4 linked regions of the Arabidopsis thaliana genome follow. The protein of the gene in region 1 purifies or fractionates together with the protein of each later gene. This does not show direct contact. Each region holds a gene or a part of one and is shown in the gene's direction. Other genes may lie near its edges. The genes, in order: PTAC3, FLN2, MURE and PDE312.

Region 1 (9,231 bases):
CCATTAAACCGTAGACTCCACGAGATGATCATCAAAACGATCGGAGGAATTTCTCAGACTGCAAAGAATGGCGAGGAGGCAGTGATCCTCCACCGTGACGGCGAAGCATCTTTCGACCTTATTCTAATGGATAAGGAAATGCCTGAGAGGGATGGAGTTTCGGTACTTAATGATCTTGAATCTTAATCTGCTTACCAAATAGACAATTTAAGTGGGTCGATCATCACTATACTTAAAAACCTCCTCTTTAATATAGTTTTTATGTTCTTTGTTGATTTAATTTAGACAACTAAGAAGCTAAGAGAAATGAAAGTGACGTCAATGATCGTTGGGGTAACGTCAGTAGCTGACCAAGAAGAAGAGCGTAAGGCTTTTATGGAAGCTGGGCTCAACCATTGCTTGGAAAAACCCTTAACCAAGGCCAAGATCTTCCCGCTCATTAGCCACCTCTTCGATGCTTGATGGATGAAGGCTCATTAATGTATCTATATTTTCAATCATGAAATCACCTACACGTGTATTTGACACAAAAATCTGCATTTGTTGTGATATAGGGTTTCTCATATCTATGTTTGATTTATTTTCTTATCGTCCGAGGTAAAATCATGCAAGTCATTTCTTTTGGCTAATAAAATATTAAAATAAGGTTTTCTCTTGTTGAATGAGCTAATTTACTTCATATGGCTCATGCAAATCTCCATATCAGTTAACTTTAAAAAAATTATACATAGTTTCGCGATAAATTCTAAATTTTAAATAACTATCACATTTACTAAAAATAAAATAATGTATGTATGTAAATATGTAATGTAACTGGCTAATTTAATTGAATAATTATAATACTTACAAAAATAATATATATCGCGAATCTGACTATATTTATGTTTTGTTTATCTTATTCAAAAAGATGAAAATATAAACACTTTACTAGCTATATCTATTTTCTTTTCTCTATTTTTCAAAAACATAATTTACATAATATTTCATATTATTTCAATTCCAGTTTACGTTCCATATTTTTAATGTATATATATTTTATTCTTGTTCTTCGCATATATACGTCATATTATTTTGTCCAATACTATATGTCATTAAGAAGATAGGGTACTACTACTGGGTACATCATATCTTACTTTGGATTTGATAAGGTTTGTGTAAATAAGAGTAAATTCTATTTTCAACGGCGTGTATCATCTTAGCCAAATTTGATTAAGCATTGTGTGCTATACACTCAGAAAGTACCTATACTAATGTTGCACTATAAATAATAATTATTACAAATTTTTAATCAAGAAACTAGCTATGGGTCTAAAGATCAGAACATAAAATGTAATTTTTTTTTCTTCTAATTTTGACTTTATAACACAATTTTTTTGGACATCTTTTTATTTATTTATTTAGAAACGTTAAATTTTTATTTGATATCTGTTTTGAATTAAATCAGAAAAAGAACATCAAACAAAAATTTAACGTTTCTGAATTTCTTTGGTTGTGACCACATTTCTTGCAGCCGTATAACTCGTGACTCTAAATCTTAAAAGCTTTGGTTGTGTAAGTGTTTGAAGTGGAGTTATATTCTACACTTTAATTTTGAGTTGTTTTGTTTGAACTCTATATCTGTACTTCACTTTTCAAAGCATCTACTATGTCTCTCTGGAAAGTTCAAATTTGTTATATATAGGCAAACCAATTCTTCACTTGGCTTTTCAGGTGTATTGGTTTGATTCGGAAATGCTTGGGAGGTTGAACCGAAGAACAAAGGATTGATGAGTTCGAATATTTTCTATATATACCATAGCTTTTTGAGATTATGATTTGTTTAGATAAACAAGATCGTGTTGTGTTATTTGTCTCTGCTTCTTTATTTAACATACGTATGGCATCGTAACATCTTCATATGTTTGTAAATACAATTATTTTCACTTTTGTTTTGATATTACTTTCGAAAATATATGAAAGTGTTATCTATAAACTATATCAGGAATCAGTGGTTCAACAATTAATGATATCCAAGAAAAACGCTGTGTATTATAATGTGGATTACGAAAGTTCTGACAAAATTTGTGTGAAATTTTGTATGTCCGCTTTTTCTGTTTTCTTTCTTATGCATTTTCGATCATTTTATCTGAAATGTGTTACAATTAAACTAAATATTCCTCTACTACATAACTCAAGCTCACATTTTTTTTTTTTGTTACTTCGGCGCAAAGTCTTCAAACACTAATTAACAAGATTTCCCGTGTGGATGCTTAGCATTTTTCTCCACCCTAACTAAGATGGAAAAATTACTCATACCAGTAAACGAAACTATTCGTAAAAACTGATTTCCTTTTTGTAAGTGTAGAACAAATAATTTTTTTCACCGACAACTTCCATTTTTTTACTATCTCTAAAATTTTCAACACGTATTCCAAGTATTTCCTTTTATTTTGAGTAATACTCTTGTTTCCAAAAATAAGAGTTAACATGATTAGCTTATATACTTGATCTTTTGGGTTCTTGTTGTGATTATATGAATGATGAAGACAAAGAAGAAAGAATCGAGAGGAGAAATTGGGAAGAACATGTCGTTGATATATAAGAAGAAACTAACGGTGTTGGTCGTTGACGATGATCCATCTTGTCGTACACTCCACATGGGAATCATTCAAATGGCTGGAGGATTCCCTTACATGGTGAAAAACGGCGAGAAATAAGAAGCTACGTGACATGAATGTGACGTCAATGATCGTGGGGATGACGTCACATGAGGACGAGACTAGGGCATTCATGGAAGCTGGAGTTGACCACTGCTTGTCAAAGCCCTTAACCTTTGGAAAGATCGCATCCATCATTGACCATCTCAAAACCGCATAATCTACCGATTAACAAAATATTACTTGGTTTAGTTCGGTTATGTGACTACTGATATAAATCTTGTTCAATGCAATTTGGTCTAGTTCGGTTCTGTCTGGTTCAATCCAATTAACTCACGTGATCTGCACATGATCATCGTCTACATTTTAATTAAATAAAAATCTAAATTTCAAATCACTTTATCCATTCCCCAGTAAAAAAAAAGTTTCAGACTTTGGCAAAAAAAAAATGTCACTCTTGTTCCTCAATCCTCCGTTTCCCTCCAATTCAATCCACCCAATTCCTCGTCGTGCCGCCGGAATATCCTCCATTCGATGCTCAATTTCTGCACCGGAGAAGAAACCGAGGAGGAGGAGGAAGCAGAAGCGCGGCGACGGAGCTGAGAATGACGACTCTTTGTCTTTCGGAAGTGGTGAAGCTGTCTCCGCTCTGGAGAGGAGTCTCCGCCTCACTTTTATGGACGAGCTTATGGAACGAGCTAGAAATCGAGATACTTCAGGTGTTTCTGAGGTTATCTATGACATGATTGCTGCTGGGCTTAGCCCTGGACCTCGTTCTTTCCATGGTTTGGTTGTAGCTCACGCGCTTAACGGCGACGAACAAGGCGCGGTATATGCTTCTCTCTATAGCTTAAATTAAAGACGTAGACTTTATGTTTTTAAGAAATCATACAATGCTGGAGCTTAAACTAAATCGAATTTGAATTGTTGTGCTTTATAGAACTTGAGTTATGGTTTAAGACTTTACAAATTTTTTGTATCAAAATTAGAACTTTACTCTTTCTCATAGCTTATTGAGTGTGTTTGAACTGAAAGATTGCTTCTTTTTTTTTTGCTTGGTGTGTGTTTGTGTGTGATTGCAGATGCACTCGCTGAGAAAGGAGCTAGGTGCAGGCCAACGTCCGCTTCCTGAGACTATGATTGCTTTGGTTCGTCTCTCTGGTTCGAAAGGGAATGCTACGAGAGGCCTAGAAATCCTCGCCGCTATGGAAAAGCTTAAGTATGACATTCGTCAAGCTTGGCTCATTCTTGTTGGTATTCTCTCTTACTACTAAGACTATGTGTTAGAATCAAATGGTTGTTGCTTGTGTCTACCAGGATTGAGGTTACTGAGTAATCGTTTATAATTTGATTGTGGTCTTTTATAGAGGAGCTCATGAGGATCAATCACTTGGAAGATGCGAATAAAGTTTTCTTGAAGGGTGCAAGAGGTGGGATGAGAGCAACAGATCAGCTTTATGATTTGATGATTGAAGAAGATTGCAAAGCTGGAGATCATTCTAATGCCTTAGACATCTCTTACGAAATGGAGGCAGCTGGTAGAATGGCCACAACATTTCATTTCAACTGTCTTCTTAGTGTGCAGGTTTGTTATGTTTTTTTTTAGAACGTATACACACACTTCTTCTTTGTATAATGAAGATGGTAAGTCTTTTTGTTGACATCAACTACATTTTTCTTTGCTTCCGTTGTGTAGGCTACATGTGGGATTCCCGAGGTAGCTTATGCTACATTCGAAAATATGGAGTACGGTGAAGGTTGTATGTTTTTCTTAGCTAATTTCCGCTTCAATTGTTTGGTTTAGTTGTTGCCTGATGGCTTTTGACATGGCTTGATGTAATCTTGATTTGGTAGTATTTATGAAGCCTGACACTGAGACATATAACTGGGTGATTCAAGCCTACACTAGAGCCGAGTCATATGATAGGTAATTCTTATGAGTTTTTGATTGCACACATTTCTCTTAGAAGTGGACAAATTTTCAGGTAGCCTGTTGCATGAATCACAGGGTTCAGGATGTTGCTGAATTACTTGGAATGATGGTTGAGGACCACAAACGTGTGCAGCCAAATGTGAAGACTTATGCGTAAGAGAATCATTATTTCTGTATTGTACTCATTTCTACCAACTTTGCATTTCTACCTGTTCTATTGTAAAAATCCTAATATGATCTGTATGATGATCCATTTCAGGCTCTTAGTTGAGTGCTTCACCAAATATTGTGTCGTGAAGGAAGCGATTAGACATTTTCGTGCTCTTAAAAACTTTGAAGGAGGAACAGTAATTTTACACAATGCAGGGAATTTTGAGGATCCTCTCTCTTTGTATCTCAGGGCTTTGTGTCGAGAAGGTATGCATACACTTGTACCTGTGTCAATATAATATGCAGAGGCATATGTTGAACACCTTCTGGGAGATCATGAGAACTTATGATTAAAACGATTTATGATTATGGTTCTCTATTTCCCTTATTTCTGTTTTTATACTTAAGCGTTATATTTGTTGATTTTTAGGACATGCTAAATTTACTGTCTTTAAACGGTACCCTCTACCTTTGAACCAGGAAGAATTGTTGAGCTTATTGATGCTTTAGATGCAATGCGCAAAGATAACCAACCTATACCTCCAAGAGCCATGATTATGAGCAGAAAGTATCGAACACTAGTCAGCTCATGGATTGAACCATTGCAAGAAGAAGCTGAACTTGGCTATGAGATTGATTATTTAGCGAGGTAAAAACTTGAGTTCTGCGTGGTTTGACTGGAATTTTGTTGATCAGATTCTATCCTCCCATTTACAAGTTATACGCTAATGCTCTGTTCTAATTGTCAGAAAGGAAGTATAGTGTCTTTTTTTACATGTTGTCTTGATATACTAAGATTCGCATTCTGTAAACATTTTCAGGTACATAGAGGAAGGGGGACTTACTGGTGAACGCAAGCGTTGGGTACCTCGAAGAGGGAAAACTCCTTTAGATCCCGATGCTTCTGGTTTTATATACTCAAACCCTATTGAAACATCCTTTAAACAGAGATGCCTTGAAGATTGGAAAGTTCACCATAGGAAGCTCTTGAGAACCTTACAGAGTGAAGGTCTTCCAGTTCTAGGAGATGCATCAGAATCTGATTACATGAGAGTGGTGGAGAGATTACGGAACATAATAAAAGGTCCTGCACTGAATCTTTTGAAGCCGAAAGCAGCAAGCAAGATGGTTGTATCAGAGTTAAAGGAAGAACTCGAAGCTCAGGGTTTGCCAATTGATGGAACAAGAAATGTGCTTTACCAGCGTGTCCAAAAAGCAAGGAGAATAAACAAATCTCGAGGTCGACCTCTTTGGGTTCCTCCAATTGAAGAAGAAGAGGAGGAGGTAAATTTATGCTTATGCTCTTTCTTTCATTCGGGTAAACATGCATCTTTAGTACTTGTTACATCTAAAAAAGTTTGTTTTTGATATAGGTCGATGAAGAAGTAGACGATTTAATATGTCGAATCAAGCTACATGAAGGAGACACAGAGTTCTGGAAACGTCGGTTTCTTGGAGAAGGCTTGATTGAAACTTCAGTTGAATCCAAGGAAACGACTGAATCAGTGGTTACAGGTGAATCGGAGAAAGCGATTGAAGATATTTCAAAAGAAGCTGACAATGAGGAGGATGATGATGAGGAGGAACAAGAAGGAGATGAGGATGATGATGAAAATGAAGAGGAAGAAGTGGTTGTTCCAGAAACTGAGAATCGAGCAGAAGGAGAAGATTTAGTGAAGAATAAGGCAGCTGACGCGAAGAAGCATCTTCAAATGATTGGAGTCCAACTCTTGAAAGAATCCGATGAAGCAAACAGAACAAAGAAACGTGGGAAGAGGGCATCTCGTATGACACTTGAGGTTAGTACGTATAACACACTATGATATGGTTATGATTTAAGTAGACACATGATTATGAATTTGATAGTTTAAGCATGTTTTCACAATGCCGATTACCTCCATATCAGGATGATGCAGATGAGGATTGGTTCCCTGAGGAACCATTTGAAGCATTCAAAGAAATGAGGGAAAGAAAAGTGTTCGATGTGGCTGACATGTATACAATAGCAGACGTTTGGGGTTGGACATGGGAGAAGGATTTTAAGAACAAAACTCCAAGGAAATGGTCACAAGAGTGGGAAGTCGAGTTGGCAATTGTGCTCATGACAAAGGCAGGAGTTCCTTCAAGCCTCTAAAGCATTATTACACAAATTGTTTTATGATCCTTCATGTTAATAATAATGATAAATTTGTGTAGGTGATTGAATTGGGTGGAATTCCAACGATTGGTGATTGTGCAGTGATATTACGAGCTGCTTTAAGAGCTCCCATGCCTTCAGCCTTCTTGAAGATCTTGCAGACGACACACAGTCTTGGCTACTCATTTGGCAGGTAACTCAGTTACAACCTCTCTTTGGGTTTAGTCTGTTAGAGAAGCTAGTCTAAGGCGTTCGATATGACTAAACTTGACTATAAACAATGACATTTGAATACACGTGGTAAAAATCTGTTGCAGCCCGTTGTACGATGAGATCATCACATTGTGTTTGGACCTTGGAGAACTTGATGCAGCCATCGCCATAGTTGCAGATATGGAAACCACAGGGATCACTGTCCCTGATCAAACCCTTGACAAGGTCATATCTGCTAGACAATCTAATGAGAGTCCGCGGTCTGAGCCTGAAGAGCCAGCATCAACAGTAAGCTCTTAGTTATCATATCCTCTTCTGCTTGTTGTGAAGTCTCTATAAGAAACAGAAATCGGTAGAAGGAGCTGAATCTGTCTTAGTTATGAAAGTTTTGTTCATTATAAGTACAAGTCATGTAGTTCCGAGTGTAGAACAGTTTTTACTAGTGTTGCACCAGGTCCCTCCAGTCTGATACTTAATTCTTTAGTGTTGGATCTTTCTATATAAGAAACGCAAATAGCAAGACGCAGCTGAATTGGTCTTACTAACAAACGTTTTGTTCACGAAAAAGATAGGAAGAAACAAATGAACGATAGTAACAAAAGTTAGAAAATCCTCATCATATTGCATAAGATAGGAAGAAACAAAATAAGGATAGTAATCTTATTCAATGAGAAAAAGAGTGAGTAAACGAAGGAGGCTAAATTAGGCTTTAAAATTCGTTTGCTTCTTCAGACCCTCGAGGACTCGTTTTTTCCATTTATTATCCTCCTGCTTGGTTCGCTTTATAAAGGCGGCAACTCTCAACATGTTTTGGTCATATCGACGCTGTTCTAGAATGGGTTTTCGTTTCCTTTTGCCTCCCGGAGGTTGTTTGATTTGCATTGAATTTGGAACGTAAGGGCACAAATGTGGCCTACACTTTATGCCGGCTACATGTACTCGGAGATCCAATTCTCTAAAATATCCAGTTTTTCCAATGATGTTGACTCTGTGGTGATCAAAAACCATGGAGACTTTCTTCTCCTCGTCAATGAAGAAACTCCCATGTATATATGCAATCGGCATGTCAGCCAATGGTCCTGTATCCATTTCCAAGATCTTGCTCCACGACACTTTATCATACTCGATCTTAGTCGTGATCCATATCTCAAACTCATATGGATTCCAGTCGTTGTGCGTAAGTAAAGCCGCAAGCTTCTCTTCTCTAACACAAGATAAAGTCACATAGTCATCATGGCCAGCGCTAAACGGTAGACGCAAAAGTGGCCCAAATCTCTCACTTGTGAAATCAAAACAGATTATGTGATCGTCGATTTTGTTTATTGCGTTACTTTTTGTAGCACAAAAGTAGGTATTTCCCTTGAGAGAAACACCACGCTGATAACACGATACTATCCAATATGGAGGGACATCAAGAGTTGTCCATAAATCGGTTTCAATATCGTAGATTTCATACCATGAAAACCGGTTTTCGGGTGCGTGGTTCACGGCCGAAGAGATGTAATGATCTATAAACCTCAAGACTTTGTGGCTACGACAAGAGTTGTTCTTGTTCACGTACCCTAGAGCGTACCTGTACATGTCCATATCCTGTTCTACGCGGTGCTGCTTCTTTACTAATGTGCAGCTTCATAAAGCTCTGACTTTGGGATAAAGCGTACAACGTTTTGCAAGTTAATTTCAATGTCCTCATATACTTCATGGGAAGTCTAGATACAATATCCTCTATCAAATCCCTTGGAAGATTTAAGATCATCGTTGTCGTTTTCTCAAGTTGCAACAAGGTTTTTTTTTTTTTAACCTTAAAAAAGTGTTCTTCTTTTCCTCTGATTTTTTTCCCGCAGAAGACTATACATAGGAATTTGAAGTTGGGCCCAATCGTGGGCTTCAGAATCTTCTCTTGTTTTCTTTTTGGTAATCACATTCATAACATCCAAGTTCTTTACCAACAATGACCATTTGTATGGGGAGAGCATCAAGTTTGTATGAAGCTGGGCTAACTATGGGCTTATTGGAATTTAAAACAGTATCTTAAATTCCATCTTTAATTGAAACATTTGATAAGTGGAAGCTGCCAAAACACGCGTCCATCTTTAATTAAAATCAAATGTGAATTGTTTTCATTTTTGTGACATTTAATATTTACTTCTAGAAAAAGAAGA
Region 2 (6,961 bases), on another chromosome or scaffold:
ATCTCTTTCACTTGCCTCAGGACGACCACAAATATCTCCCAAAAATCTCTTCCTTGAAGGTCCTATAAGTATAGGTGCATGAGACAATCCTATACTCTTCTTAGCCATCTCTTCCCTGATTTTTGGTAGCTCCATGACAATATCTAAATTATGATCTATTCCCTTAGAAAATCCAATTCCTGGATCAATCATAATCCTCCAAGCTGGAATCCCAGAGAGTTCTGCTTCTCTTACTCTCTCATAAAGCTCTGTGGCAACATCTTTGCATATTTCATTATACTCCAAATTCTCTTTGTTTTGCATTGTACATGGATCTCCTCTCATGTGCATGATCATATAAGGAACATCAGAATCCGCAACAACCTTATGCATGTTCTCGTCTAAACTTCCTCCGGATACATCATTCAAAATGTCAGCTCCATTTCTTATTGCTTCTAAAGCAACCTCAGAGTTAAAAGTGTCCACTGATATGAGCTTTCCCTTCATCTCTGCCATACCGCGAACAACTTTTAAAACCGGAATCAGTCTATCTATCTCTTCTTGACTAGATATTCTTGAGGCCATCGGCCGTGTTGACTGTGCACCGATATCAATAATATCTACACCTTCAGATATCATAGACCGGACCCGAGAAACCGCGGTATCTACCGATTGAAACTTACCTCCATCACTAAAGCTATCAGGAGTAAGATTAAGTATACCCATCACATAAGTTTTCTTAGAAAAATCCCATAAATGATCTCCTATTGGTATAACCCTTTGTATAATACCGTCTTTTCCAAGCAATGACTCACCACCTAACCGCTCCCACGCTTGGAAAATTCCACCTGAATGCATTGAGAGTGAATGCCAATATGCAACTATTTTATCATTATCAATATCTTCCGTTCCAAGCAAATCTACCAAAGGTGCTAAAACAAATGGTCTTTCCCAGATTCTCTCATGGGGAATGATAAGTTTATCAGAAATTATCTTGTGCTTTCCATAGAACAATATGTCCAAGTCAAGTGGTCTTGGTCCATACCTTAAACCATTTTCTTCACGACCCATCTCTTTCTCAATTTTCTTGAGAACGTTCAAGAGTTCATGAGGTTTGAGCTTTGTGACACCTCTTATTGCAGCGTTGAGAAATCTTGGTTGGTCGGTCACATGAACAGGTTCTGTTTCGTACAAACAACTGTGTCTGGTTACACTGATCCCATAGTCTTTCATCAATCGTAAAGCTTCTTTGAAATTATTCATTCTGTTTCCAACATTGCTTCCCAAAGCTATCACGACTTCTTCGAAAGTTGTTGTTTCCAAAGATGTGAAATCTGAGTCATATACAAAACATGTTTCGAAGGTGAAATATGATTCAATACTTAACAGAAATTAGTGTATCAAAACGTAAACGCTGTTTTTTTCAACGAAAATGAAACGGATGAAAAAGATACGAACCCATTTTAGAATAGGTTCCTCCAAAATATCAGTATTGTCTGCTTCGATCTGACCTTAAAGTATACAAAACTATGAGTTTAGTCTTAGATAACAACGAAACAATTATTAGAAACACAAAAAATGGGTTCTAATATTTTAAGAACCAAGGAAGTAAACAATACTTATGTATGAGAGAGGCAAGGTGGTAGCCAATTTTCACCTACTTTTTTTCTGAACTTGTTGTGTTATCCAAGTACCTTCTGTCTTTCACGCTCGTCAAAAGTCAGCTTCTCTTTTGAATTAGATATGAAGATCTAGAAAAGAAAAGAAAAAAGAGAAGAAAACTTTGTTTTTAGAGAGATTTTGAAATTGGTAATGAATCTCTCATAATTTTGAAATTGGTAGTGAATCTCTCATAATTCTTTTCATTATCTATTCTATCTTTTACCATTTAAACATATATTTGGATAGATGATGGAAAATTGTGTGTTAGTCTCCAGCTATTTCATTCCATTTTTAAAAAATATCAAAATTTTCATAGATTTGTTCTGACTACATCAATTTTCTTTCATTCCACTCAAGGCACTCATGGTTACATTACCAATAGAAATTAATTAACCATACAAAATTCTAATTATTATAACTCCAGACGATATTATTTTCACTATATAGCAAAAAATAGCCGTTTTACCATAACATATATACAGTCTATATTTTTTGACGAAAAATAAATAAATATACAGTATATATATATATATATATCCTCGTGTTAGAATTGTATTAAGTTTTTCATCACACCATCTTTAGGCATTATTTCTATGCCAATCAAATCATTTACTCGTAAATCATCATAGTAATTATGATTTCAGTTAATCGTAAGTTTTTTGTAGCTTTGTGATGATGAGCCAATTAACTTCACAACAAAATATTTTCCTTGAAGTAGTTTTTTAATAGCAAACGATTTCACGAAAAACTTTACATAACAAATATTTCTACCTACATTAAAAGAATGTCATATAGACAATACTAAATTCACTAGCTTTAAAGAAGAAAAATGAGCCGTAAATAAATTATAGTAGACAGAATAGGGACATCTTGACGTTTTAGTATTTTGATCATAGAATGCTTGCCGTTTCGTTAAAGCGCTAAACCTCCTCCTCATCCTCTCCCAGCTAGCTCCTCTTGCGGTTTCAGAGCTTAAACCCCAATCTCCCTCAAAACTCATAAACATATTGCTCTCCTTTGTTCATTTCTGGGTTTACGCTTCTTTCGACTTTATGGGTTTCGGAGCTTAGTTTTACTACAATTTCGTTTGGAAAAGAGCTCTTATTTGATGTTCATGGCGTCTCTCTCCTTCACCCAATTCTTATCATTCCCCAGGTCCCTTTGCTTCTCTCTCTCTCTTGTTTTCTAACCTTAGGAAATTTTAGTATATGGGTTTCTATGGATTTGGCGTAGAACCAGTTTACTGCCCAAAAATGTGCGAACTTTAAGTTTAGCTCATCTTATCTTTCTACAGAAGAATGGAGTAACAATGATTTGAATTGAGGGCTATATTTGTCTTTCTGTTTGAAAATTTCACATTTTGATGTAATGGTTTTCTCATAGCTGTGCTTTGATTTTGGCAGATGCAATGCAGATGTTCCTTGTCTGCTCCAGTCGCATGGTTTTGTGAAGTTTAGAGGTGAAAGATGGAATGGGAAACAAAGCTTTTCTATGGCTGCTGGTAGGAGAAAGTTATCAGAGTCAGCACCTCTTGAAGAAGAAGGTAATGATGGAAACGGTGCGGTTGTGGGAAAGAAACCATCTAAAAGTGTTAAGAGAACAACGAAGAAGAAGGTTGTGGTTAAGGATGAACCATTAGAAGAAATTTCTGAATTTTTGGTTGATAATGATGATGTTTTAGACAAGGAAAGCATTGTCTCAGCTTTGAAACCAAAAAAGACAAGAACTAGAAAGAAAGGTAATGACTTTTACCATTTCTGAGCTGATGGTTCTCACTTGATGATTCACGAGTACTTAATTTGAATTCGACATATATACAGCTGCAGCAGCTTCTTCTGATGTGGAGGAAGTAAAAACCGAGAAGAAAGTGAGACGAAAGAGGACTGTTAAGAAAGATAAAGATGTGGAGGATGATTTAGCTACTATTATGGATGCTGAGGTTAGTGATGTCGAGGAAGCATTGGCTGTTGAAAGCACTGATACAGAGAGTGAAGAAGAAGAGATTGATCTGAGTAAACATGAAGGTGAAGATATTAGTCACACTTATGGATGGCCTCCTCTCGTGTGTTGCTTTGGATCTGCACAACATGCTTTTGTGCCTTCGGGAAGGCCAGCAAACAGGCTATTAGATTATGAACTACACGAACGGATGAGAGATGCAAAGTGGGCTCCAGAGAAGTATATCCGGGCTCCTGGAGGATGTGCAGGAGGTGTTGCTATTGCTCTTGCAAGCTTGGGTGGTAAGGTTGCTTTTATGGGCAAACTTGGGGCTGATGACTATGGTCAAGCCATGTTGTATTATCTGAATGTGTGCAAAGTCCAAACTAGATCAGTTAAGATTGATGGTAAAAGGGTTACGGCGTGTTCTACTATGAAGATCAGCAAGAGAGGTCGCTTGAAATCGACTTGTATTAAGCCATGTGCAGAGGATTCACTTTCAAAATCTGAAATCAACGTTGATGTGCTCAAAGAGGTAATATATTGTCCTGGAGATTTGGAACATTGAGTTTTTGGCTCTTTTTCTTGTTCACCAATCTCTTAACTTTGGTGCAGGCGAAAATGTTCTACTTCAGCACGCATTCTCTACTCGATAAGAAGATGATGTCAACTACGATACAAGCCATCAAGATATCAAAGCAACTAGGCAATGTCATTTTTTATGACTTGAATCTCCCTTTACCACTATGGCACTCCAGCGAAGAAACCAAGTCTTTCATACAGGAAGTGTGGAATCTTGCAGACGTCATTGAAATCACAAAACAGGAACTTGAATTCTTATGCGGAATCGAGCCTACTGAAGAGTTCGATACAGAAAACAATGACATCAGTAAGTTTGTCCATTACCCGCCAGAAACTGTGGAACAGCTTTGGCATGAAAATCTCAAGGTCTTGTTTGTGACCAATGGCACTTCTAAGATCCATTACTATACCAAAGAGCACAATGGTGCTGTTTCCGGAATGGAGGATGTTCCCATTACTCCTTTTACAAGGGATATGTCAGCATCTGGAGATGGCATCGTTGCAGGTACATTTTCACTTGTGTCATTTGTTTTTCATAGCAATTTGGAAGTTATGCTTGCGATTAACTGAACCACACTACTCTCTATTTCAGGTCTAATAAGAATGCTTACGGTTCAGCCAGATCTTATGAACAATAAAGGGTACCTGGAACGCACAGCGAGATATGCAATTGAGTGTGGTATTATTGATCAATGGTTGCTGGCACAAACCCGAGGATATCCTCCAAAGGATGACATGGAAGAAGAAGAAGATGATGAAGAAGAAGATGAAGTGGAATCAGATCCAAACGGTATAAGATCGATAACAGAGAAGGAATACAGAACCTCAAAGCCTTATGATGAACCAGATGGTCCATACGTTATGAAACCAGTAGAGGAAAGGGAGTACAAGAAGTTAGAGCTTGTTGGCTCAATGTTTGAAGATGGTAGTTTATGATTTTCATAAGATTTGATAATGTTTCTGTTAGTCAGCTTTTTTTTCCTGTTCACATCTTACAACATCTTAGTAGTGTGAATTTTTGTCATATGTTTTGATATCTCACTCACCATCTCAACTAATACAAAATCACTTGAAATTATCCGGAAACAGCAATGTGAAACTGCAGTGACGATGAACTTACTTTAATAGCAACTCTACTTCTACGTCTACTTAACTAATCCAAGTAGAGATTTATCTTCTTGTGATCTGCGAAAGGCAGTGTGATTCTCAAGTCCTTTTGTTTCCGGCTTAACGGTCTGCCTTTGCTTTCGGGATCTCTGTTCTCCCTTACATCTGCTAATTTCCAGACACAGTTATCTGATTCTGCATCTATAGACTCCAAGAGGAACACTCCACTCTTTACTGCTTTCCTCGAGTTTGTTTCTTCTACATAGCTTACTGTCATTGGCATATCCTTGAATCGGGGCAAGTCCTCTGGGACTCTCAGTAGCCTCTCCGCTCCTGGAGATGACACCTACACAGAAAAAAAAAAAACGGAAACAAAATTTTGTAACAAAACTGAACCAAGTGAGAGTTGATTCACTGGGGAAAGACTCTTTTTGACCTCAAGGGCTAGATCCTCTGGGATTACTTTTTCAGCCCCAGCATCATCTAGTCTTTTCTTAAATTCTCGACTAAATTCCTCAAGCTCATCCATGGTAGGACATCCATATCTTTTTTGTACAATAAAAAAGAAGAAGCTTTCGTTAATTCTCAAAACATACTGCTCTTTTGCAATGGTTTGATGATATAGAAGGGTGAAGAATCTTACTCAGTGGAGAGTTTGTCTAGTCTGACGTATATATATCCACGCGGTGAAGTTTTGAAAGCAAACAATTCCAAGTCTTTCTCAGACTGCTTCAAAACTTGTGCAGCTATAGAGAGAACTCTTTCACCCCATGCTACACCTTTAAGAACAATTCCACCACCATCTCCTCCATCACCAAGCTGTAAAACAGAAGAAAGATTAGCTTATAAGAATCTAAGAAACAGAGTGGCGATTTTGACGTGAAAATGTAGTAGAAAGAGATATACCTGTGATTCAACATCCTCATCTTCGTCTTCTTCCCAATCTTCTATGACCTCAACATCATCAGTTGCTTTATCTGCCAATTTGATTGGAAGCAATGTTTTATGAGACCAATTAGTATCTTATGACCTTTATGAAATACCAGATTCTAAGGACAAGAAAAAGCATTAAAATCATAAGGTCAAGGAAGCGAGAGAGCAAGCAACATTGAGAAGATACATTTTTTAGGCAGGAGACATTTTAACAAACACCTTAAAGACAAGAAAAAGGCAAACACACAGAAAGACCGTAAACAAATCCTAAAACCCAGAAAACAGAGAGGCAGTCAAAGAAAACAAGGTTTATTTATTTTATCTTACATTCAAAAGTGTCTTCTTCGTCGCCATTACTACCGGCGGTTTTTGGCGGTCGAGCTGAAGGAGAAGGAGAAGAAGACGAAGAAGAAAACGTAGAGATCGAAGAAGAGAAAGGAAAATAGCGAGGAAGAGTAAGACGTGTCGTCGTCTTTGGAAGTAGTAAGGAAGAAGAAAAAGTTCTAACGGAGATACAAGTCGCCGGTTTGGTAAAACGGCGAGAAGCTCGGAACAAAGCAGCTACAAAGAGATTTTGGTATCTCGCCATGCTTTTTCGAATTTCCCACAGAGACACGACTTGTAATAGTATTTATTATTAAACCTAAGGGGATACTATTTATACGAGTGTTACAAAATCCGTTTGTTCCATTCAATCTTCTAGCAATTGTGCTAAGAGGAGACAAAATTGATTGGTTTTTAATAAAAACTTCTAGGAAAA
Region 3 (8,260 bases), on another chromosome or scaffold:
TACAAATGATTTTTATTGATGAATCAATCCACTCTTTTTCGTCTGTTTCACTTATTCCATGTTTACCCAAACCGGAAGTGTTGCTCTGTTCATCCCTTTATCGCCAGTAACGAATCTAACTCTTTAGTCAATATGACTTAGTTATTAAAATTTGAGATTGCATTCGTATTATTGTATAGAAATTGGTGGAACATAAATATGATTGTTTGACTTGTAACGGTATGCGTGTGGTTGTCCACTTGTCTTATGTTATTAATAATCAAATCCATCTAACTTTTCACCAAAGTTTCTCTCTGCCGTTCAATATAATATAATTATGTCGATTTGGCTACGCATATTATAATCCTTTATTCGTTATATAACATTAACATACGTGAACACAGTAGATGAATTATACTTAAGAGCTTGAGATAGTGTACCAACAAATTAAATTGTATATCACGCACATACATAACATTTTTCCTCGTTGACATATGAAGTCTAACATGCGTATGTATATAAATATTGTTCGTATAGACTTTTGGAGATCAAAAGAATAGATAAACTTTCAGTACTAACTGGAAAAAAATTTGTAAAGTTGCTTGGAACACCAGGAAACTGTCCAAGGGTCTTCCAATACTTTCGTATTGGGATAGGATGATCAGAAATAACTCGTTGTTTAATTTGGTACGAAAACAATTGTTCTAGAATGAAAAGTAAGTTTATGTGATTAACTGAGTATCAAACTAAGTGGTTCACTAAGGTTCTATTTACATTTCCAAAGATAGTATATGTGATTGTCCAAAAATTGTCAAGGGACACTGATAAGCGTCCAAAAGATCCAAAATAAGAGTAAAAAAAAAGAGCTTATAAGATGATATATTTCATAGTGAGAACGATAAAGCGTAGTTGTATTTGTTAAAATATCCAGTGTGAAGTGTTACATTATAAATGATGAATGTCTATCAAGTTTTCCATACATTTTTTTTCATAAGATCAAGAGAAAATAAAGAGAATTATATCTTCTTCTTTTTTAAAGAAAACACAATTAAGAGATAAATAATTAAATCATGTACATTATAGCATGTGTAGGTCACGTGTTATGAAAATGGGCTGAAGAAAGTGTAGAAGTGAGGCCCAAGACGAAGGGACCACAAAGGGTGTATTAAACCAACTCAACTGTACATGGCGGTGGTCGGTCCACGTTCCAAATTAAAGTGGCCATGTGGTTTTATCGTCTTCTATCAACGACCAAAATACGGCTCTCCAAATAAGAGAAAAACAAATACAAAACTACGTTATACTACTAACTGACTTTAGTGCAAAAAAACTTAATATAACTTAGGCTCTTAATGATCATGTACATGGCGGGACAGATTTGTATGCATAGCAGATAATATAATATCAAAAATCATGAAATTTTGGATGCAATTCCATCTCTTTTACACCCATTTCTCTACTAGGGCGTTAGAAAGTCTAACATTAGAAGTTGGACTTTAGTTACTCAATGCCAATTAGAATCTAAACTTCGGCCAACTATAGATAAAACCATTAGCTTTTTACAAAATCAAGAAATAAAATCAACCTCTTATGTCAGAAAACCAAGAGCCATCAATCTTTTTCTTCTATAAACAATTCAAATAAAACGTTTGTTTGGTTCTCTGCAACAACATAGCAAATTAGCAATCATTAAGCAATTTTGTCTACTCATCAAACAAAAATATTTCTCTGTAACGAAAAAAAGATAGTGGGCTAATATTATGGGCCATGAGACTGCCTTAGAAGCCCATCCTTTCACTACACACTTTGTAATATACATTAGAAACCCTATAAATTAATACTCGATAAATTAATAAACACGATAAATTAATAAATTTTGCCGGTCGAAGTCGGGCCAATGTAAAAATTAACGAAAATCGATAAGATAATAAAATAATAATTTTTTGAAACCCCTATGTAAAAATATAGTCCCAATAATATCATAAATTAATAATCATAAATCTTAAGCATACATTCTAAGACTAATTTTATATGAAACTTTTATTCAAGCTACAATTGCAACTCTTTTTAGAATAGAGTTGGTATGATCTCTTTTATACTCACATAATTCTTTGCGTATTTGATCCGTCATATTTGGTTTTGTAACATTTTTTCTATGAAAAACCATTGCTAAGATTTTTGTAAAGAAAAATTGATTTAACCTCCACGTTAACGTCGTAGATATAGAGACACTATATCTTGCAGAAAAATAAATTTAAAATATCAAAAATAAAATTAAAGATCTAACATAATTGAATATACAAATAACAAAATATGAGAAAAATACTAAATCGGAAAAGCATTTTTAAAATAATTTAGTATTGTGTTTTACGTTAATATTCTATTAATTACTATTTATTAATTTATAAAATAAATTAATATTATTATAAATTAATAAAAATTTATAGTCCAATCATTATTAATTTATAGAGTTTCTCCTGTACATATCTTTTAATCGTTTTTAGTACACACTGCACCGTTTTATCGGCGTCTTTGATTTCTTTAAACGCATCGTTTGTAACCCAAAAATGAAAAAACCCAACTCTTATCCCCTGGAAAAAACCTTTCACTGCTTGCTTTCTCAGTCTCTCTGTCTCCAATGGCGTTCACCTTTCTCTCTCCTCACCCAGTCTTTCTCTCTCTAACTGGAACAACCTCTTCCTTCTCCTACAAACCAGTTCTCTTACCATTCTCTCGAAATTCCCGTACTCTCACGGTTGCGGCGGGACCTGCTCGCCGGAATTCGTACCCGAACCCTGCTGATGACGATCCACCTGAAGCACCGGAGGATTCAATGCACGGAGTTTCGAAGTTTCAGCAGATCCAGCGTCAAGCTGCTCGTGCACGGAAGCTAGAGGAAGAAGATTTCGAGAAGAATCGGAACACTTATCTCTCCGCTATCGCCGATGTGGAAGACGCGGCGGAGACGGGACGAGATGACGAAGAATCTGGTGGAGACTTGTTCTCTGATATCGATAGAGCAATCTCCATGAAACGTAGTGAGTTTGTTAAGCAAGGATTGCTCAAACCTAATCCTCCCAAAACGGCATCGCTTAAGAAGATTGGGGAGGAGGGAAATGAGGAAGAAGGTGATGTTACTGACGATGTTGATGAGCTTGATGAAGAAGAAGTTGTTGATTTGGATGAAATTGATAAATTAACTGGATTAACAGAGATTTCTGATGAAGAAGATTGGGTTGATGAGGAAGGTAACACTAGGATCAACAAGAAGAAGGAGTTTGGGTCTGATCATCAATTTGAATTCGATTTGGATGATTTTGGTGAATCTAAAGCGAGAATCGTGGAACCTAAGTTCAAAATGTGCTTAGCTGAGCTTTTAGATGAGAGTAAAGTGGTACCAATCTCAGTTTACGGCGATTTAGATGTCGAAATCACCGGGATTCAACATGATTCGCGCGGTGTGAGCGCCGGAGATCTCTTCGTGTGTTGTTTAGGAAGTGAAAATTTCTTGAGTGAAGCAGATAAGAGAGGAGCAGTGGCGGTTGTAGCTAGCAAAGAGATTGATATTGAAGATACTTTAGGTTGCAGAGCACTTGTCATTGTTGAAGATACGAATGCAGTTTTAGCAGCTTTAGCTTCTTCCTTTTATAGGCATCCCTCGAAGAACATGTCGGTGATTGGAGTTACTGGTACGGATGGGAAAACGACTACTACGTATTTGATTAAGAGCCTCTATGAAGCGATGGGTGTGAGAACAGGAATGTTTAGCACAGTTTCTTGTTATATTCATGGCGATAACAAATTGGATACGCCTAATGCTACGATGAATCCTGATGCTGTTTTGGTTCAGAGTTTGATGGCTAAGATGTTGCATAATGGAACTGAATCTTTGGTTATGGAAGCTTCTCCTCAAGAACTTGCTTTAGGGAAATGTGATGAAGTGGATTTCGACATTGCGGTTTTCACAAATTTGACTAGAGAAAATACGGATTTTCGTGGTACTGATGAAGAGTATAGAGATGCTGAAGCCAAGTTGTTTTCAAGAATGGTTGATCCGGAAAGGCATAGGAAAGTGGTTAACATAGATGATCCAAACGCAGCATTCTTTGTCCAGCAAGGGAATCCTAATGTTCCTGTTGTGACATTTGCCATGGAAAACACCAAAGCCGATGTTCACCCGTTAAAGTTTGAGCTTTCCTTGTTTGAGACACAGGTTTTGGTTAATACCCCTCAAGGTATACTGGAGATCTCTTCGGGTTTGTTAGGACGGCATAACATTTATAATATTCTTGCTGCTGTGGCTGTTGGGATTGCTGTTGGAGCTCCTCTTGAGGATATTGTTAGAGGTGTTGAGGAAGTCGATGCAGTCCCAGGAAGGTGTGAGTTGATTGATGAGGAACAAGCTTTTGGTGTTATTGTGGATCATGCAAACACACCTGATGGCTTGTCAAGGCTGCTAGATTCAATTCGAGAGCTTAAACCGAGAAGAATCATTACCGGTATAGATATTTTCTTCCATCTAATAGATACTCTTTGCCTGTTCGGCCGTTCCTATGGTCTTTATATGTGTGGTCATCTGATTATTTTAGTTGTTTTATTTATTTATTGAAGTTATTGGTTGTGAGGGTGAGAATGAAAGAGGGAAAAGACCGCTTATGACGAAAATTGCTACTGAAAAGAGCGATGTGACGATGTTGACATCTGATAATCCGAGGAATGAAGATCCATGTAAGTAACTCTAAGAATTAGATTGAGTCTATCTCCCTTGAGTGTTTCTGGAGGTATATTAACAGTTAATTTTCCAATGTGGTTTTAGTGGACATCTTGGATGACATGTTGTCTGGGATTGGATGGACGATGCAAGAGTATTTGAAACATGGCGAACACGATTACTATCCGCCTTTGGCAAATGGTCATAGACTCTTCCTTCACGATATTAGACGTGTAGCTGTACGTTGTGCTGTTGCTATGGGTGAAGAAGGTGATATGGTTGTAAGTATTCAAATAAACCCACACTCTATACAGTACTTTACTGAGTGTGTTATCAAAGTTGCTGGATTTACCTTTATGAGCAATCAAAGTAATATAGTTCTCGGGTAAATAGCTTTGCTTGACACTGATTTTTGCAGGTTGTAGCTGGGAAAGGGCATGAAGCGTATCAGCTTGAAGGTGAAAAGAAAGAGTTTTATGATGACAGAGAGGAATGTCGGGAAGCATTACAATACGTTGATGAGCTTCACCAAGCTGGAATAGACACAAGCGAGTTCCCATGGCGGTAAGTAGAACCGTAACAGCTAAAACAACCAACGATAACCAAAGTTTCTAATCTGTGAAGAGTTGCTGAAACTTGTCAAGATGCTTCACGATCACTAATCTGTTCTTCCTTGTATTACTGTGCTTCTGCAGGTTACCAGAGAGTCATTAATATCTCTGTGGTGAAATCATTAGAAGAGAAGTTAGCTTAGTCCATGAAACCAGATTTTCTTCCACCATGGTCCAATTCTCTTGCGAAGATCGATTTGCACAGAGGTAATGAATTCTACACAAGTGACATAAAAATCATGCCCAAGGAAAAGAGATTACACCACTGGGAGGTACTTAACGTTCCAATCACCATTACCTTAAAGTTATTCCATTGCTCACTTCACCTGTTTTTTTGGACAAGAGGAAACCTAAGCTATCGAAATGTAATATTAGACTAAACTTAATTCAGATTTTCTGTCATTGTTACCGCAGGAGGAAGATTTTAAAGGTGGAAGAAGATGCGTACAAATTTTGTAAGGGTTAAAAACCCAAAAATGTAAGTGGTTCTGTTTTGGGTATGTTTTGATAGCATGTGTTTAATTTAGATGAACCAATTCAAACCGAACCAACAAAAATAGATTCCGGTTTAAATTATTTATTTTCTTACATGTATCCAAACTTGAAAAAAGTGAATTCAAAGAAAAAAGAAAACGATGAAAATACGGTTTCAATTTCTTAATATGAAAAATTGAGAAAGTAGGAAGACATGATTGAACAATAATAAGATTAGGCCTTGTGATATATTGTGACAAGAACATAAATTACGAATGTTTGGCAATGGTGCTAGGGAATATAGTCTTTTGAAACTATTAAGCATACTTTGAATTTTATATTCTGGTTATAAATTAAAAGATTTCCCAATATCCATTCGTATTTTTGGGACCACTCCACCAAAACCAATCTAATCAAAATATAAAACCAAATAAATAATAATTTGCTTAGAGATAGAAAACATGTTATGTCCGAGGAAATTGTCCTAAATGTCGCAACAAACGTCAATTCATTAATCGTTTTGTTTAATACAAATTTCGACAAGATTGTGATAGATCCAGAACCAGTTTAGCTAAACCGGTTGAATCAGAAGAAACGCCAAAACCCGGTCCAATAGCTCGACCTAACGCCGTCGTTTTCAAAGTTCCTTCACTCTACTTCCTTCTCGCTTACGTCACTTTCCACAGATCCAACAATGATATCAGATAAAATTAAAATATTCCCAATATATTTTCTAAGAATATCTCCCTATTTATTTTTATTTATTTAAACTATTTTAATCTCTTCCGTGTTTCACTCTTCTCTCTCTCTCGCTTCTCTTCATTGTTTGTGTGTGATTACAGCGAAGAAGAGAGAATCCTTGGAGCATTCCATGGATTCGCTTCGATTTCTCCGGATTCTTCTTCTATCATCTTCGATTTTACTCTTATCTCTCCGTTCTACAGTCACCGCCGGTGATATTGTTCATCAAGACAATTTAGCTCCGAAGAAACCAGGTTGCGAGAATGACTTCGTTTTGGTACTTATCTCCACTTAAATCTCTCGTTTCTTACTTCGAATTCAGCTTCCTCTTCACTACTCTCGATACTAATGTTGTTGTTATTCCCCTCTTTCTGGCTTCTTCTTACGAAGCTCAACAAGTAGTTCCAAAAAAACGAAATCGGAGGTTTCTAATTATACATGCTATTGAAATTTCGTGATTGGAGTTTAAGCTTACTGATTAGCTTGTGTAGTTGATCTAAGTTATGGATAAGCTTAAACTCTTAGTTTAAGTCTAATTATGAGTCGTTCATGTTTAAATCTGATATGAGAAGTGTTTGATAAATTGGATTAAGATCTGGTGAAAGTTTTATGTGTGTGATTTGTTGTAACCTGGTTCTTTCCTTAGGTGAAAGTTCAAACGTGGATTGATGGTGTTGAGAATGAGGAGTTTGTGGGGGTTGGCGCTAGATTTGGGAAGCGGATAGTTTCCAAGGAGAAGAATGCAAACCAGACTCACCTTGTTTTTGCAAATCCTCGTGATTCTTGTACACCGCTCAAGAACAAGGTTTTTATGACCTATGACATTAGAATCAATGCATTTTAAATTAGTTGTGATGTTGAAAGTAAATGTGTTAACTTATGTGTTCAATCTTTGTTAGCTTTCTGGAGATGTTGTTATTGTGGAACGGGGCAACTGTCGGTTCACAGCAAAGGCGAATAATGCAGAAGCTGCTGGTGCCTCTGCTCTGCTCATCATCAATAATCAGAAAGGTATTTTGTTTTGTTGAAATTGTTTTGATGTTATTATAGCAATCAGTTATATTTGGGTATGCTTACTATCACAGACAATATTGTTTGTAGAATTTAATGGTTTGTATGTTTGTTTGTCTCTGACAGAACTTTACAAAATGGTTTGTGAACCGGATGAAACTGATTTAGATATACAGATTCCTGCCGTCATGCTCCCGCAAGATGCTGGTGCATCCTTGCAAAAGATGCTAGCCAACAGTTCTAAAGGTATGTCCTTTTCTATTTCAATCAGGATATGCTTCCGAAGTTGTCATTTTAAGCTTGTATTGTAAATCATTATATGTATCGGTTAACTCAACAATCTTCTGCACTTGTCAGTGTCGGCGCAGCTTTACTCCCCAAGACGACCAGCTGTTGACGTAGCTGAAGTCTTTTTGTGGTTAATGGCAATTGGTACCATTTTATGTGCATCTTATTGGTCTGCATGGAGTGCCCGAGAAGCAGCTATTGAACATGATAAGCTACTGAAGGTCAGACATTTTCTACTTATTTGGGAATAATAATATTAGGCTAGGAAGATTTAGTTCGATGGGTAAGGATAACATAAACTGCCAATAAGTAAGTCCTTTGCCCTTCTTGTGCATTTCCAATGATGCCAAAAGGGACAGAGTAGTTGGTAACTTGGTTAGGCCGAGGAAGAAAAGTCAATTGTAGTATATTGAACAACGCTTAGGCATTTCTTTACCATGTTACT
Region 4 (8,192 bases), about 17 Mb from region 1:
TTACGTAAAGACTCTTTTGGCCGTTGATTTTACTTACTTTTTAATAGACAACGATTCAACGGTCAAGATGATTTAGTGTCTCTTTGGTTTCTGTGATATATAATTTATTGAACCCTTTATAAATTTTGTTTTGAATTTTTTCTCTTAAGAAAATATTTCTGTGTAGGTGCTTTGGGAAAATATAGAATCAAACACTTATTTGTAATTTTTTTTTTTTTTTTTTAAATTTATTAGGTATATTTTGTTTTGCCCTATAAACATTTTCTTAACACTCAAAAGTAAACCAAGCTACATCTTCTTCCTCTTTTCATAAGAAAGTAACAGTAATAATGATAAAAATAAACAAGTCAAGTATTGTAAATATTACATATCTAAACTCATGTTGTCATCATGGGTCGGGGATCCGATACATCCATTGTGGGAGAACGAGCAAGCAACATCGTATATGTTGGGTGAGTACTCTCATAAGTATCGGACTGTTACAGGAACTTATAATGCTATTCTGCTTGGTATATTCTAATTCACTGTGGATCACAAAATTTCCATTGAGTAAGTTAATAAATAGCAAAGTTTGGTGTTTCGAACTCCAAAAGTATGCTATATTAGCATCAAAAGGGTCAATCGTTAGCGGTAAATAATCGAAAGGAGTTTCAATAAAAGTCGGGGAGATCTCAGATACTAATTGCCATTCTCCACTCTTTAGCCTCCATACACATAACTTAGCATCTAAACCTTCATCAGAGACTATGTTCATATACATGAGAAATCCTTGACTAGTTGTGCATGTTCTTATGAATTCGCGATGCTTTTCTAAATCAGGGAAATGAGTAACCCGACACTTATCAGAATTTGTTTCAAAAGCGTAAAAGTCGATGGATATAACAACTTCTGTATCCTCACTATTGCGAACGAGCCAATGAAGATTTTCGTTTAAGCTAATGGGATGGTAAAAATCACGATTGAACGAAAAAGAGAAAAGAAAATGGATAGTGTTGAGACTCGACAACCGTGTCTCGGACGAATATATCTGGACTGAAAACTTATTTTCGTTATTATGGATCTTTTTTGCCTTTCATCAAACATAACAACTTTGTAACTCAAAACGACGCCGTTTTTAGTTTGTGTTACTATTCCCAAGGGACAGAAAAAATTATGCTCGAGAGCACGACGATTGATTTCTAAGCATTGATGTGAAATTGGATTAGCTAGGTATAACGATTGATCCTGAGGATAGACTCGACATCGATCAAAATAAACCCCATATCGGTGTTGTAAGGAACAACTTTGGCTTCTCGGTATATGTTCATTTCGAATTTATCGGTCATAAAAGACGAGATGTAAGAGTACTGGTACGATTAAATCCCCAAGTGTTGCATCTATGATGAGCCACAAGTTCTATCTTGTAACGCCTACACATGAGCGACCATGAAGAAGAATGGTGCAGAGACATGAACATGACACGAAAATGTGGAGACTCGATAATAGATTTCCACTGCTTACAAACCAGTTTAGAAGTCGTGATCATTTTTAGTGGTAATTGTGCAAGTATAATTGTCCATAGATCATCTGTGAAGAAACATATTCTTATTCATATGTGTTATTGGGATTTACTAAGGTGTATTTAAATACTGAATTTCACATAAATTTATTTCTCAATAATATCTAGCTTTTGCTGATAAATCTACGTAACATAATGGTATGTAAAAAAAAAGTAGATTATAAATTTAATATATGTGTACATAATAAACAGTAAGAGATTTGATCAAATTATATCTTTTCATGCTATTTAGTATTGTAATTTTCTGAAATAATCAATTATCCTAAAACAAGTTCATAAATAAAAAGTTAATATCCTAAACAATATTTACGTTTAATATATTTTCTCTATTAATACTAGATTTGATGGAAATTTTATCTATTTTAGTTATTTTATATAAAAAGTTTTTTTGGTTTATAATAATGAAAAACGTGATTAATGATAAAATCATAATAAGAGCGAAGGGCCCATTATAACAGCATTTATTTGGGCCGTTGTTGGTCTCAGGTTCCCGCTCTTTTTTATCGATCGAGGCGCCAAAACACAAAGAATCGATTATATGTTGTCATCTTTCAGATTGTCAATTCAAAGAAGACGATCAGATCTAATTGACTCGAGAGAGAGAGAGAGAGACGTATGTTTGGGAGGCTGAGACCACCGCCGTCGCCGCCGGATTGTCTGGAGAGATATCCGGCGAAGATCATCAAAGACGATCCTCTCTCCGTCTACGGTATAATAAATACACACTCTTTCCATTTTCATGTGATTCTGATTGTCCAATAGAAATCTCTAGGTTTTGAAATCCTTGGTTTCTTTTGATGGCATTGTAGAGTCAACACTGTTGAAACTTAAGCAAGGGTCAACAAGACAGGACACTACTTCATCAGAAACAGAAGGTGAAGAGAATCTGTCATCAACATCATCGTCTCATGTCTTGTCTTCGGATACACAATTAGGAGACACTCATGATGCAATGGCTATAGACTCGTGTGAAAGCTCGAAACAGATAAAGAGCAAGAACCCATCAGTACTATCCATGTTTAGCAAGTACAAGAATCAAGCTCAAGCACGAAACATGAAGACAGAGACTCAGGAATGATTTGTAAACAAATGTATCCCAAGTTCATGTGTGTTGTACTTTGATTATGTACAATTTAACTACATTGTTAGTAAGGAGTCTATATAGATGCCTGTATCAAAACATCTCTCAATCATGTGTTTATTACTTTAGCCTAAACAAGCTTTATGATCTTTAACCAACGGTGTTGATAGTACTGGTCATGTAGGGGTTCATCCATAACTAAACGTCTAAACCTTATATTAAAATGGGTCTAACTGATCAATCAAAAACATTTGGGGTCAAAACAATATATTGGATAAATATAAGGGTTCATCAAAAAAAACTTAACATTTCTTCTTCACTGTAAAATGAAATAAAGCTTATCCATACTCAACTTCTTCACTCTCTCTTAAACCTTCAAAAACCCTGAAGAGTGACGAATGAATCATGCAGATTTGCCAAACCAAGCTCAATTTCACTTTCCCTAATCCCACAAACCCTAATTTCTGCAAACCCAAAGCTCTTCAATGGTCACCGCCTCGTCGCATATCCTTGCTGCCTTGTCGTGGATTCAGCTCCGATGAATTCCCAGTCGACGAAACCTTCCTCGAGAAATTCGGACCAAAGGACAAAGACACAGAAGATGAAGCTCGACGACGTAACTGGATCGAACGTGGTTGGGCTCCATGGGAAGAGATTCTCACACCAGAAGCTGATTTCGCTCGTAAATCTCTCAACGAAGGTGAAGAAGTTCCGCTTCAATCGCCGGAAGCGATCGAAGCGTTTAAGATGCTGAGACCATCGTATAGGAAGAAGAAGATTAAGGAGATGGGGATAACAGAAGACGAATGGTATGCAAAGCAATTTGAGATTAGAGGTGATAAACCACCTCCTTTAGAAACATCTTGGGCTGGTCCGATGGTTCTTAGGCAAATTCCGCCGCGTGATTGGCCTCCCAGAGGTTGGGAAGTTGATAGGAAGGAGCTGGAGTTTATTAGGGAAGCTCATAAGTTAATGGCTGAAAGAGTTTGGCTTGAGGATTTGGATAAGGATTTGAGAGTTGGTGAAGATGCTACTGTTGATAAGATGTGTTTGGAGAGGTTTAAGGTTTTCTTGAAACAATACAAGGAATGGGTTGAAGATAATAAAGATAGGTTGGAGGAAGAATCTTACAAGGTTCGTTTTTTTTTTTGAACAATGAGATATTGTTAGCTTAGTGGTGGCTAAGAGAAGGATTCTAATAAAGATGATGTTTTTATTTATACAGCTCGATCAGGATTTTTATCCGGGTAGGAGGAAAAGAGGGAAGGATTACGAAGATGGGATGGTAAATATTATTATGCTACTGGATTTGATTGTTTGATTAGTTTGCTAGATGATGAACTGTTTGTAAGTTAATTGCTTTATTTTTCTTTGTGCAGTATGAGCTTCCCTTTTACTATCCAGGGATGGTAAGAATTCTTATTCTAAGCCTTGTATATTGTAACTAATGATTGGTTTAAATGAGCAATATCGTAATGTCCATGCAGGTTTGTGAAGGCACAGTTACCACTTTACATCTGTATCAGGGAGCGTTTGTTGACATTGGAGGTGTTCATGAAGGGTATGTTTATGTCTCTTTACTTTGTAAAGATAGACTTACCGTGGTTCTTGTATTTAGGGTATATAACGTAATATAATGTTGTCTCTTGTTTCATATGCTTTTTTTGAAAGATGTAAGTTTATGTGTCTATTGGTTTGCAGATGGGTACCTATAAAAGGTAATGACTGGTTTTGGATCCGGCATTTCATAAAAGTTGGGATGCATGTTATCGTTGAAATCACGGTAATCTTAAGGCACATATTCTTCTTTCGCATTTATAAAAATCTGAATGGAAATTGCTTCATTCTCCTTTTTCTTTTGTTCTTTCAGGCAAAAAGAGATCCATACCGGTTTCGGTTTCCCTTGGAGTTGCGCTTCGTCCATCCTAACATAGATCACATGATGTATGTAATTCACACGTATTTAATTCTCTTTACATATCCAGTAAAAATTGGCATTTTGGTTCTGTCCTCAATGGTCTTGGTTATGGTATATGTGTTGACTGTTTTTACATTCCTGCTCCAGATTTAATAAATTTGACTTCCCACCAATATTCCATCGTGATGGGGATACTAATCCAGATGAGATACGGGTCAGTAGAATCCTTTCCTAGAATATCAATCCATTTCGTGTTCTCGTGAAGAGTCTCCCTCTTATCTAATACATTGTTTGTACAGCGAGATTGTGGAAGACCTCCTGAACCTAGAAAAGATCCAGGATCAAAGCCAGAGGAGGAAGGGCTGCTCTCTGATCACCCTTATGTCGACAAGGTATTTTCCTGAGCAAAAGGGTTGGTTATGTGATTTTTGCTTTGTTTACTCATTAGGTTTATTGGCTTTCTAAATTTTGTGAAACCGTCAACACATTTCTTTCCCGTTTGCAGTTGTGGCAGATACATGTAGCTGAGCAAATGATTTTGGGTGATTACGAAGCTAACCCTGCAAAATACGAAGGCAAAAAGCTATCAGAATTATCTGATGATGAAGACTTTGATGAACAAAAGGATATCGAGTATGGCGAAGCTTATTATAAGAAAACCAAATTGCCAAAAGTGATTCTGGTGAGAGTTTCTTCTGGTGTGTTCGTGAAACCATACTGTCTTAAGCTTTGTGATTAAATGTGTTCTATTTCTGGCAGAAAACCAGTGTCAAGGAACTTGACTTAGAGGCTGCATTGACCGAGCGCCAGGTTTAAATTCTCTTCCCTACTTGTCGTCACCAATTTCCTTTAACCCACTGCTACGGAAATATTCTCGTTTGTATTTGTTTATTTTTAATAGATTTCCACTTCACACTGTCTTGGTAACTCCGATTGTCGTCACAGTTCCATTTTAAGGCTTTGCACTTTGTAATTGACACATTGTTGTATGAATCTTTTATACTGATAGTGGTTAATAACTCAATACTCTCCTGTTGTCTTGTGCAGCACCACAATAAACTAATGATGGAAGCTAAAGCAAGAGGAGAAGGATACAAAATTGACAAGCTCAGACGAAATATAGAGATGGACGAGTATGATTTCTTACACTGGCGCCGATCTTTGGAGGAAAGAGAAGCATTGCTCAGAGATATCAGCTCGTAAGTAAAAAAAAGTTCACTTTGATGTTTTTCAAAGAAAGTGTTTAGATGAAGAAGATTTATTTTGCAGTCGGCAAGCACTTGGTTTACCATTGGAGGAACCAGGGAGGTACAAGCCAGGAAGCTTCTTTGGGAAAGACCAGTACGATCCAACAAGTGCATTATATCAGTATGACTACTGGGGAGAGCCAAAGAACTCAGAGATTAGCAAGCAAGAGAGAATGAAGGATGCACACAACAAATCCATTGTTGGGAAAGGCAATGTGTGGTATGACATGTCTTACGATGATGCGATTAAGCAGACAATAGAGAAAAGAAAAGAAGGGTCTACCTTGGCGAGTCAAGAAGAAGAAACAGAGTCAGAGGAAGAAGAAGAGGATGACGATGATTTTGACGATTTTGACTATAGCATTCTGAGTGATGAGAGCAGTATCGGTTACTCGGAACAGCAACCTCTTGTTAACGGTACTCAAGTCTTGACAGACTGATGTTTAAAAGGAAAGTAAAAATAAGAAATTGTCGAGGTTGATTTATTTGAATTTTTGTCTGTTAGGTTTGATCTATTTGATAGTTTTTTTTTTTCATTTCTTCTTATCCCGGAGATAGTAAAATCAGTTTCTTATTAACTTAGCCAGACGTTTGGGATCTTGTAGTACACCGTTGAACGTTAGGAACGTGACGTTTTTTGTTTTTTCTATCAATCGTCGTCAGAGAAGGTAGTCTTGACACCGCAAAATACGCCTAAATGTTTCTCTTGTTTCTTCTGTTTGGGCTCCAAAACATCAACTTCTATCAAAAGGCTTTCTCGTTCGTACCTGGAATATCAAAAACCCTTGTCATCTCTCCGTGTATACCAAAAACTTCACACCATGTGTGCTCTTTGATGACAAAACTCTTAAGGCAAACTCTTACCAAAGCTACTCTGCAAGGTTGTACCTAATTCACAAAAATAATAGCATTAAACTTGTACAATGACATCAAAACTCTAAAGCAATAAGTTAGAGAACCAAATCTCCATAACATGGAAAATCAGTTTACTTGGGTCGGAGAGGGTATGGAGCTATCTCAGCTACGGAGAAGATGAAAACAGAGACGGTTTATTAGCCTGGAAGAGTTCGTTGAGAGCAGCAAAAGAAGTTATAAATATAAACCTTGAAGAGGAAGAGAGCGAGAGAAAAGAGGTGCTCCGAGTTGTATATGCTCGTTAAGGGTTTTCGCTCTTCTTTGTGGGCCTTAAAAGGCTAATAAGCTTCGGCCCAATTTTATTATTCTGTTTAAATCGTCCGTTGACTTGTTTTATTTTATACAACCAAAAACAATCTTCATACATATTGTTTACGGTTTAAGGATGGTGTTTGCAACGTCTCAGTACTCCGCTTCTGATCAGTTAGGTCATTAACAATAGTAACGGAAGATTAAGTAATACTAAAAGATTCTAACAAACAATTTACAAAAGAAAAGTCTCCTTAAAATTCTTAACTAAATTATTATACAATTTATGTCCAATGTAGGTAGACTTGTATTGCTATTTAAAACTCTTAATTTATTTATGTTTTGATTAATTTGATTATATATAACGAAAAATAAATTCAAAAAGATTCTAAAAAACAATTTATAAAAGAAAAGTCCCCGGCTAAACACTATTCATTTGACCCTTAAAAACTCGATTATAGTATCATACAATGTCTTTGATTTTAGTCTTGTAGCGCTATTTCTTATCCGGAGATGGTAAAATCAGTTTCTCATTAACTTAACGATTTGGAATTTGGTACACACCGTTGATTTGAATGTTTTGAATCTGACGTCTTCTTCTTTTTTTGTCAAAAAATGGAACTGATGTTTAAGTTCCAAAAACACAGCTACACATAGTTAAACATTGGTCCATGTGGCATTTCTATTATGGCATAGATGATATATAGATGTCCCACGTATCATTAGATATCGCACTTTTACCGCAGGTAGACTGTAGTACATTCAAAGCTGTAGTACAACATTTATTCCTCACCCTCCTTTTTTGTTTTCTTTTGCTCCGACGTATCACGTTTATTGGGTCGTTTACTTTCTTATATTCCTTGTTTCCTCAAAACGTGAGTGCCGACAAAAGAAAAGAAAATATCAAAATCAAAATGTGATGAGTTCGACTGAAATATCTCTTCAAGTGAGTAACTAGCTCAAAGTAAGACCGGTTCGCTCACACTTTTTTGTAGCAATCAAGATGGTATGTTTCACATTTTTTGGACCATTTTGGAATTTGCATGTTTGGACGATCACTCGGACCGTAATTTCCAACCGTCCTTGCCGTGAAATCTCACAACATGCGTCCAATATAGGTGGGAACCGCACCGACGATACGCATTAAATACTTACAAAATTTTCCTTCATTAATTATTTTTAAGCAACAAGCTTGAAATTTAGCATCACAAATGCGTCAAGAAC

Evidence for each region.
Region 2: the proteins of PTAC3 (region 1) and FLN2 fractionate together in Arabidopsis thaliana (co-fractionation; one large-scale study listed by BioGRID). This does not show direct contact.
Region 3: the proteins of PTAC3 (region 1) and MURE fractionate together in Arabidopsis thaliana (co-fractionation; one large-scale study listed by BioGRID). This does not show direct contact.
Region 4: the proteins of PTAC3 (region 1) and PDE312 fractionate together in Arabidopsis thaliana (co-fractionation; one large-scale study listed by BioGRID). This does not show direct contact.

What each region holds. Positions count from the first base shown.
Region 1 is NC_003074.8:1,121,369-1,130,599, reverse strand, and holds PTAC3 (plastid transcriptionally active 3), read left to right. Parts: upstream 1-3,018; 5' UTR 3,019-3,084; coding exon 3,085-3,465; intron 3,466-3,718; coding exon 3,719-3,890; intron 3,891-4,003; coding exon 4,004-4,221; intron 4,222-4,332; coding exon 4,333-4,393; intron 4,394-4,490; coding exon 4,491-4,563; intron 4,564-4,644; coding exon 4,645-4,722; intron 4,723-4,828; coding exon 4,829-4,986; intron 4,987-5,199; coding exon 5,200-5,368; intron 5,369-5,540; coding exon 5,541-6,003; intron 6,004-6,092; coding exon 6,093-6,518; intron 6,519-6,625; coding exon 6,626-6,829; intron 6,830-6,915; coding exon 6,916-7,049; intron 7,050-7,173; coding exon 7,174-7,369; 3' UTR 7,370-7,652; downstream 7,653-9,231. Other genes in the region: RR22 (response regulator 22), read left to right, coding at 1-162, 286-462; AT3G04270 (two-component response regulator ARR22-like protein), read left to right, coding at 2,517-2,696; AT3G04250 (F-box associated ubiquitination effector family protein), read right to left, coding at 7,772-8,650.
Region 2 is NC_003070.9:26,013,269-26,020,229, forward strand, and holds FLN2 (fructokinase-like protein), read left to right. Parts: upstream 1-2,755; coding exon 2,756-2,796; intron 2,797-3,044; coding exon 3,045-3,379; intron 3,380-3,461; coding exon 3,462-4,114; intron 4,115-4,194; coding exon 4,195-4,666; intron 4,667-4,753; coding exon 4,754-5,097; downstream 5,098-6,961. Other genes in the region: AT1G69190 (Dihydropterin pyrophosphokinase / Dihydropteroate synthase), read right to left, coding at 1-1,313, 1,438-1,441; AT1G69210 (Uncharacterized protein family UPF0090), read right to left, coding at 5,315-5,614, 5,705-5,813, 5,912-6,087, 6,175-6,245, 6,529-6,790. UniProt on the Arabidopsis thaliana protein: Required for proper chloroplast development, most likely through regulating plastid-encoded polymerase (PEP) dependent chloroplast transcription.
Region 3 is NC_003070.9:23,611,844-23,620,103, forward strand, and holds MURE (ALBINO OR PALE-GREEN 13), read left to right. Parts: upstream 1-2,496; 5' UTR 2,497-2,617; coding exon 2,618-4,478; intron 4,479-4,590; coding exon 4,591-4,707; intron 4,708-4,795; coding exon 4,796-4,971; intron 4,972-5,108; coding exon 5,109-5,254; intron 5,255-5,385; coding exon 5,386-5,404; 3' UTR 5,405-5,573; exon of another isoform or gene 5,574-5,715; 3' UTR 5,716-6,069; downstream 6,070-8,260. Other genes in the region: SPPL2 (SIGNAL PEPTIDE PEPTIDASE-LIKE 2), read left to right, coding at 6,647-6,793, 7,163-7,321, 7,416-7,527, 7,654-7,773, 7,885-8,036. UniProt on the Arabidopsis thaliana protein: Involved in chloroplast biogenesis. Required for thylakoid membrane development. Seems to be required for plastid-encoded plastid RNA polymerase (PEP)-dependent gene expression.
Region 4 is NC_003074.8:17,959,165-17,967,356, forward strand, and holds PDE312 (Nucleic acid-binding, OB-fold-like protein), read left to right. Parts: upstream 1-2,998; 5' UTR 2,999-3,044; coding exon 3,045-3,773; intron 3,774-3,864; coding exon 3,865-3,924; intron 3,925-4,018; coding exon 4,019-4,048; intron 4,049-4,126; coding exon 4,127-4,200; intron 4,201-4,340; coding exon 4,341-4,583; intron 4,584-4,704; coding exon 4,705-4,771; intron 4,772-4,856; coding exon 4,857-4,949; intron 4,950-5,062; coding exon 5,063-5,239; intron 5,240-5,316; coding exon 5,317-5,367; intron 5,368-5,604; coding exon 5,605-5,756; intron 5,757-5,826; coding exon 5,827-6,244; 3' UTR 6,245-6,449; downstream 6,450-8,192. Other genes in the region: AT3G48490 (uncharacterized protein), read left to right, coding at 2,174-2,267, 2,368-2,636.